Linked DNA regions of Arabidopsis thaliana. The protein of the gene in region 1 interacts with the protein of each later gene in a pairwise test. Each region holds a gene or a part of one and is shown in the gene's direction. Other genes may lie near its edges.

Region 1 (4,885 bases):
GAAAAGAACAAAGTTAAGTTTAGTTTTGCGAATGTTAAAAAAAATAAATATCTTATTTGCACTTTTTGAATTATTTACCAAATATAAAAACCAAGATGGTGTTTTTTTTGTAATACCAAAAAAGAGAGAATTTTAGCTACGAGAGAATGCAAAATTCGGATTTGTGATCCGTTTTATTGAAAAAGATTTTAGTTTCATAGAACATATATCAAGTAGTATACAAATTGAAAAATAGGGTCTGATAGATCCGAGACACTTGGGTATTATCACCTAACTTTTAAACGTTTATGCCAGTTTTTTGACAAACAAATCACGAAGTATTTGAGGATAAATACAGTATTTGTTTATGTTTTCTATCTTTTTTTAGGAGGATGAGTTCATTGGTTTGATCTTAAACAATTGAAAATTTATAGGTTACCACCAATTTTGCGATTTTTTTTCTTCTTCTATACTTTAGATTTAAGTTTATATATAGATATTTTCGTTTGATATCAATATGGGAAGCCCACAAAGTTGGGGAGTTTAGTGGTACCTTTTTTTTTGGTTCACAATTGCATACGAATATTGGGGAGTTTAGTGGTACTATTGCATACGAATATTGGAGATACGAGAAAGGGGTGGAAAAAATTGATGATAAATTGAGCCCAAGTAGGAAACAATACACAAGGCCGTATATAAAGTTGGCATGTTGGGTTCAATACATGAGGCCGTCTTTTTGTTCGGCCGCGGCCAGTGGTGAACACTGAATATGGCCTTTTGAGACTCCGAGGGGACAATTATAATCCAACACTAAAATACATCTCTAAACTCTATTTGCCAACTAATTTCTTTATTTAAAATACGTTTCAATCTAATCAAAACAGATAAGCCTGTTAAACACAATTTTGATTTCTCGAGACTACGAATAGGTGGATCTATTTGTATCATAACATCATAACATATAAATCGATATTTAAAATTTTGAGTAATAAATTTGATGTTGGTCTCTAACAATTTGCGGGTAATTTCTTGATATTTTGGACATCACCCGAACATATTAGCTCATTACACACCAATTTCTATAGAGGCAACATATTTTCTTATCATTAAAGTTGACAGCTATTAGAGCCCTTAATCACGTTTGATTTCATATCTAATTCCAAATTATATGGATATAACAACAGCATAGCATATAAATTGATATGTGTAGCATTAGGTTATATCTTTGACCGGGAAATGCATTGGCAGGCCATTATACTGGGAAGATGCATTCGCATATATATTAGTAGGTGTACTTAGTAATCGTCTACTTGACATAATTAAAATTACCGGTCAAAAACACGAGATATATAGGAACTCATATTGTGTGGATATATATATTAGTTTACATGTGTATTTATGGATAAGGTTATAACGAATTCAACAAATTCTCAAGGTCCTATGAAATTTCAACAAGTATATTACAGTTTTTTTTTTATATATGGCTTTTCTTCTCCCATGTTTCGGCTGTCTACGAAGAGACATTTGGCTTTTCATATTGGGATATTGAAAAATACATTTTCAACGTTTTATATATGATTTTGTGTGGGTGAAATTAATACTTACAGAACAAAAGAGCTCATGCACGTTTAGTGTTATTTTGGCGGCTGTTTTTAAGGATTTGCATATATTCTTTCCCACGTATTGAATTCTATAAATGACATAATAATCAAACTTGTAAAAATAATAGAATGAATAGTTTATAGTCTTCCAAAATTCGATTTCTGTTGTAGTGGAATCGCAGACATTTTCTAACTTATGAATGTTGTTATAGGACTTCTTTAAACCTTGGTTGGATATACCCAAATAAATATAAAGTTCACACGAAAAAAACTTGGAATCACATCCAGGAATATTCACCACTGGATCAATACTACTATACAACAAGGGAAAAAAAAATATTTAACTTGGGAAGGTATATACTTATTTTATAAACAAAAGCAAGATTCGCCTTGTAATGCGACGGCCCGACTTCTCTCTTTCAAATAATGATCCTTGAGAAACCCTATAGAGCCATATATACGTTGTCTTTATAAAGAGACATAACTCATCTCTTCTTGACTAACTTTATAGTTAAAGTTATCAATTATTCGAAAACAAAGCTGGTTTTTTGTTTTGTCCCTTAAACCAGCATGATCAAGAACTTAAGTAATATGAAGAATGACAATCAGAAACGTGAAAAATGTTGCGAGTACATCGAAGCTCTCGAAGAAGAACGTCGCAAGATCAATGTTTTCCAACGCGAGCTTCCTCTTTGCGTAGAGCTCGTGACTCAAGGTACATACATATGCATTTACATTTCATATAAGATATAATGAGTTTATATATATGGATTAAATGTTAGATCTAAAGATTTTTAAAAAATGTTTTATGGAATTTAGCGATTGAGGCGTATAAGAGGGAGATATCAGGGACGTCGACGGATAACTTATACGGACAGTCGGAGTGCTCAGAGCAGACCACCGGAGAATGTGGGCGCATCTTGGATCTGTTCATACCAATCAAACACTCTTCGACCTCCATAGAAGAAGAGGTTGATGACAAAGATGATGATGATGAAGAACACCAGTCTCATGAAACCGACATAGATTTTGATGACAAGAACATGAAATCTGAATGGCTCAAGTCTGTTCAGCTCTGGAACCAATCCGACGCAGTTGTTTCTAATAATAGACAGGTAAGATTTTTATTTTATTTTATTTTTTCTTTGTTTACATTTGTGTTTTTGTTTGCCTTGAATTACATTTACTGTATTGTTTCCAAACCAGCCTATTGACGTTGTTAATTGTTAACGTAAAGACTAAACGCATAACCTTCTGTGTACTTTATGCGATTGTGTTTGTAACTTACAACTTCACAAATAGATTATTCTTTTTTCTTCCAGTTTTTGTTTTTTTTAATAGACCGAAAAAGGATGGGTGCACAAAAAGATAGTAAATTGCTCACAAAAAGATTTTGTTTTGTAATTTAAGTTTCTAATAGCATTTTGCGTATTCAGGATCGCTCACAAGAAAAGACAGAGACGCTGGTAGAGTTGATAAAAATAAACGATGAAGCAGCGAAGAAAAACAACAACATAAAATCACCGGTGACTACTAGCGATGGTGGCAGTGGCGGTGGCGGTGGCAGAAGAGGGCAGAGAAAGAATAGGCGGTGTTGGTCGCAAGAGTTACACAGACGCTTCTTGAACGCTCTTAAACAACTTGGTGGCCCTCATGGTGCGTTTCTTGGTTTTAAGTTAAAACATATATATCAGTAGTCATATCTTTTTGTTAGGGCTCATGAAGTTTAATTAATTCGTAATGACCTTTTTGTTCACTAAATTTTGAAGTAGCTACGCCGAAACAGATAAGAGATATAATGAAGGTTGATGGGTTAACAAATGATGAAGTCAAAAGTCATTTACAGGTTAGTAAATCATATTCCATGAAAAATACATGTAACTAATATGTAAAAGGTATATATTAATTTCATCATTTTAGTTACAAATGTTTTTATAATTTAGAAGGAAAATAATATTTATTGTTTCATATTTTTTTTAATGATAAATAGAAATATAGGCTGCATGCAAGACGGCCAAGCCAAACAACACCGAACAACAGAAACTCTCAAACGCAACATTTCGTGGTGGTTGGTGGAATATGGGTCCCACAGACTAACCATTCAACGGCCAACGCAGTCAACGCCGTCGCATCGGGTGAGACCACCGGGATTTATGGGCCTATGGTCAGTTCGTTGCCGTCCGAGTGGCCGAGGCATTCCAATTTTGGTAGGAAGATTTCGGAAGATAGATCAAGATGCTCTAACAACGGATTTTTTCGGTGTAGCTCACCAGCTATGTCTTGTTCTACTCGTACAAAGACGAAAGATGCAAAAATAATATCATAAATTTAATTTTTGATTATTTATTAAGAGAAAAAAGTTATAGACATTAATATTGTGAAGAGTGTATATATATAGATGTTGGAGCGTGACTCTATGTTATTTTTAGTTTCTTGGTTTTTTTCTATTAGCCGATGATATCTTTGATCAAAGATCCATATTAGCTAATGCATACTATATTTTTTTACGTCGTGCAATATGCATATCGATGATAATAAGTTAATAACACAAAATTATTAGATTACTAGTTGAAGAATCGTATATAGAAAGAATCGTAATTATATGTAGAATGATGGTATATTATCAGCATATATTTTTATAGAGGCTTTAGCCACCAAAATTAATAAATGTCAGTCACAAACTCAAATTAATTAATTTCGTCCTTAACATATGTATGTCGGCCAGGTTTCTATTTGCTATAGTAATATAAGATACACAGAAACATTGTAGAAATGTAAAATGTCTTCGAAAACAGAAGAAAAATACATATATAAACTTTTTTGAATGAAAATAAAAAAAATTATGCCATACAGAAGGATCGGAACTCGGTAGAATATGCCGGAATCTGAAGAGCATAATCTGCAAATATGTTTTTCAGGTTAAACTTTATTCTCTTGTTGCTTGTACTGGATATTAACACAAATGTGCACGTTGGGCTCCTTCTCGTGGAGTGAATTATTCTTTATTTGTTCCTTTTACTTTTGTAAATACAATTTTTCCATATAAGTATATAACTGTGTAAATATTAAACCCAAAATATGTTAAAAGACAAGTTTTTTTGTAACTTAAGGGCAAGAAACAAGGTGTAAAGCCACATGAAAATTGCTGACCATTCTAACTCTCGACACTACTATACAATTAATATCTCTTGACTTGTACTCATTCTCTATAACAACAACAATTGTTGGGTTTTCTTGTTCGCTCTCACTGTTGTTTATTAAGTGTTGTTCGTTTGCGAGGTTTTCTGAATCAATAATCAAAATGA
Region 2 (3,865 bases), on another chromosome or scaffold:
ATAATAATCAAAAGGATTTGTTTTTGTGATAATGAGCTTTAAGGAAATGATCCTGTGAAGAGACACCTACTGGCTTCAGTGCTCCTCCACGTGATTTTGACGCGCCAACTGTTTAGGCTTTAAGAGAAGGAAGAATGTGGGCCCATACTGTTTTAATTGGGCCTATTAAGGCTTTATTGAGCTGATGTGTAAGGCCTGTTTAGACTTGTGCTAATGTTGGATGAGCATGACAAAATGATTATCATTGTTTGGTTAGAAACAGACCAAAACAGCGGGTAAGTGTTTGATTGTTATTTAAATTTTGATTATTATCGGGGAGTGGAATAAGCAAACATTAACGTATGTCTGTAGAATCGAAAAAAAACAAAAATCGAGACAAATTAATTAGATGATTAAATATAACATGTAGACGTAGTAATGTGTTAAACTATAGTCCTAAATTGAGATCTATGAAACCGAGGTAAGTTTTAAATATTTCCATGCCTCCATGTCGGATCTTCGAGTCTTCTAATTCGAATCCCGAGTTGAAATTTAAATGTATAGAGTAAATTATTGTTTGCTTCAAACTTAAGAAAATATGCTTCTTGTGCTTCGTTTTATGTCTTCTTGGGTTTGCTTTAGCTTATTCACCTATTGCTTGTTGGATCCACCGTTAATTTTTCATTTAATAGTCCATATGAAAATCAACATTTTAGCATAAAATTACAATTTTAGGCACAGTTATTTGACTCATACATGATTTACCTATACATTTGGTCACTCAACTTAATTATTTGCGATTTTAAAATCGTGTATAATGTTTTAAAATGACTTGAATTGGAATCAACTAATTTTAGGTAGCTCGAACAAACTTGTTATTTATTTATTTTCAGATAAGTTCCGTACACCAAAATCTATAACCGAAAAGACTTTGGATTATATTGTATGAGTTTAGAGTGCAATTCTTCTTTTTTTCCCTCTTTTTTGATCTAAGAAATTTCTAATTAAGTTCACATATTTTCTTGGATCTAATCACTCTAAACAACTCCTCCCAAATAACATGAGTTTTCATTATTATTAGAGGGGTGATGTCTACATTTTGGACCAAGGTCTAATACTTTGTTTTACTTTCGTCAAACCGAGTTAAATCCGAGAAGTATGAGATCAAACGTTAAACGTATTCATGTGTGTGTATGTGATGTTACATGGATAAATGGCTATGCATGTATATTCTATATGACGTTGATGTGTGGTCGTGTGGATATATGCGTGTGTTTACCGGTTAATACAATTTTTATATTCTTCGTATGTATGCTTGATGTGTGTATTAGTGTATGAAAAGAAAATGACGTGGAACTCCCGACCAGGCGCGAGTCAAGGAAGCGAGGCGTTCGGCGACGGCAGCGCGGTCGTCTCCGCAGCCCATGCGTTACAATTTACAAGATCTCTTTTTCTATGATACCTTCTTTCATTATTTAATTAATCACCAATTTATAATGTCTTTAATTAATTTGGAGTTTTCTAGCTAATTCACATTTCTTATTATATTGACTCTTTTTCACTGTTTTTATGTTTTCCCATCAGCTTTCTTTTTGTCCACGTAAACATTTCCAAACATTTTTATTTTAAAATTTCTTTATACTTGTATACATAAATACCTAATACCTTGCTGGTAATATATGGTCAAAATTAGTGAAACCTTGGAACATTTCCTGTAACAGCTCTTATTACTCTCACAGTCGCAGTGATAGATATATAGTAGAATAAGTTAGCAAAATACAATAATTGTAAAAACACATTTAATACATAAGCATGTGAGAACATTTTTACGTGAATCCAATTGTTCATTGAATAATTAAATATTAAATTGATTGTTAATTGAGGATTCATTGTCTAACGAGAAATCCAAAGAGCAGATGTACTTTCAAATTAAATGAAACATTTAAGACAACATTAAACCAAACGAAAATTGAAAAATGAAAAATAAAAGACACCTTTTTGTTTGCCACACAATTTACGCTTTCTCTATCTATTTATATGTACATACATTCACTTTCACCAGAATCTCATCAAACACACAGTCTCTCTCTAGCTTAACAAAAAAACACGAAACACTTTGAGTTCCATGTAAGCGTCCGTTGTCTTCTCTAAGTTACAAAAGCCCTAAAACCCTACTCTCAATATGAATAGTTTCGAGCCACAAAGCCAAGACTCTTTGCAAAGAAGGTTTCATCAAGACAACAGCACCACACAACAACCTCGTGACACCACGACACCTTTCATACCCAAACCGGCTTCCAAAAACCATAATAATAGCAACTCCAGCTCTGGAGCGGCCGGGAGATCATTCCAAGGCTTTGGGCTTAACGTAGAGGACGATCTTGTTTCATCGGTGGTTCCTCCGGTTACGGTTGTGCTAGAGGGACGTTCTATATGTCAACGCATAAGCCTAGACAAGCATGGGAGTTATCAGAGCTTGGCTTCGGCTCTAAGGCAAATGTTTGTCGATGGAGCTGATTCAACGGACGATCTTGATCTGTCAAACGCCATTCCTGGCCATCTTATTGCTTATGAAGACATGGAGAACGATCTCCTTCTTGCCGGAGATCTTACTTGGAAGTAATTTTCCTCCCCTAACATTAATTTTCTTTATTATTGTCAGGATGGCCATATATATACAAACTATATATAAAACGAGCCTTATTTTAAACATAGGAAAACTATATTAATTTTTTTTCCCCTAACGGTAAAATACTACAAACACAAGTTTTTCAAGCTGCCAAGAAAACACATGTTCTCTGCTTTTCTAAAAAGACAAATATCAATAATTTAGTGAAATGATATTTTGTTGCTATCCTTATTCTGTATACTCAATTTTGCTGGCTATAGTTATTTTGTTTGATACCGTTATATATCTTTCTTAAAAATTACGGTTTTCGTTCAATGTTTAGTATAATTAGATTTTGAAGGTTTCGTGATCTTTAACTGGCAATATTTTAATACTTGGACGTTAACGAGAAAATTTGCTTGTTGACACAGGGACTTTGTTCGTGTAGCGAAGAGAATTCGAATCTTGCCGGTCAAGGGAAACACAAGACAAGTTAAAAGAAACGAGTGAGGAGGAGAAAGACCGTTTTTGCAACGATGTCATACGATGTTTTGTAACAGCCGATGTCGGTTGAATCCTAATGGCATTACTGTAAAATCATCATTGGATGTGTTTGCTTCTTTGTTCACGTACGAAATGAAAAATAAAAAAAAAGTTGTAATACTAAATATAACCTATTTTTCTTAATTATAGTGTAAAACATGAAACGTTGCAGTAACAACACATGTTAGTGATGCGTAAAGAAGAGAGATTCCAAACCATAAAGAAGGAATCAATTCAGCTATACCGACAAGAACAAAATAAGATAAGCCAATGTTGAAACTTGTGGGTAAGAGTAGTTGTACAAAAATAATTTGTTTAAACGTTGAGGCAAATTTTTTTGTTTGGTCTCTCGTCATGTCACCACTTAGTTTCTTTTTATGTCTTCAATAGCCAGAAAATCATAGAACCCTTGACGACATAAAGCCTCATGGCCTTTGTCATGTACATGCCAAAACAATATAACAAGACAAAGAATAAGCTTCATGATTTGAGTTTTTATCATTACCTTGAAGACGTTTGTATCGTTTAGTTCGAATCTTCGAATGGAGGCAAGCCCCACTCTTCCGGTTTAAAATCGACTAGAGAGGTTATGATTTGATCTGCAACATCTTGGTGAGAGATATCTAGTCTAGGATCCGGTACCATAACCACGTTCCTGTAGATAGACATCAAGATGTATAAACTTGTTTCTCGGTTTTTATTGGCTTTTACATGAAGAGAAACCCACTTACATTC

Evidence for each region.
Region 2: the proteins of AT3G25790 (region 1) and IAA33 interact in binary tests that used the Arabidopsis thaliana proteins (3 or more experiments, as listed by UniProt).

What each region holds. Positions count from the first base shown.
Region 1 is NC_003074.8:9,411,046-9,415,930, forward strand, and holds AT3G25790 (myb-like transcription factor family protein), read left to right. Parts: upstream 1-2,006; 5' UTR 2,007-2,150; coding exon 2,151-2,295; intron 2,296-2,399; coding exon 2,400-2,695; intron 2,696-3,016; coding exon 3,017-3,236; intron 3,237-3,349; coding exon 3,350-3,426; coding exon of another isoform or gene 3,427-3,465; exon of another isoform or gene 3,466-3,570; coding exon 3,571-3,906; 3' UTR 3,907-4,195; downstream 4,196-4,885. UniProt on the Arabidopsis thaliana protein: Probable factor involved in nitrate and phosphate signaling in roots. Integrates nitrate and phosphate starvation responses and adaptation of root architecture, depending on nutrient availabilities.
Region 2 is NC_003076.8:23,267,863-23,271,727, forward strand, and holds IAA33 (indole-3-acetic acid inducible 33), read left to right. Parts: upstream 1-2,051; 5' UTR 2,052-2,161; coding exon 2,162-2,598; intron 2,599-3,018; coding exon 3,019-3,097; 3' UTR 3,098-3,230; downstream 3,231-3,865. Other genes in the region: GS1 (Haloacid dehalogenase-like hydrolase (HAD) superfamily protein), read right to left, coding at 3,656-3,785, 3,862-3,865. UniProt on the Arabidopsis thaliana protein: Aux/IAA proteins are short-lived transcriptional factors that function as repressors of early auxin response genes at low auxin concentrations.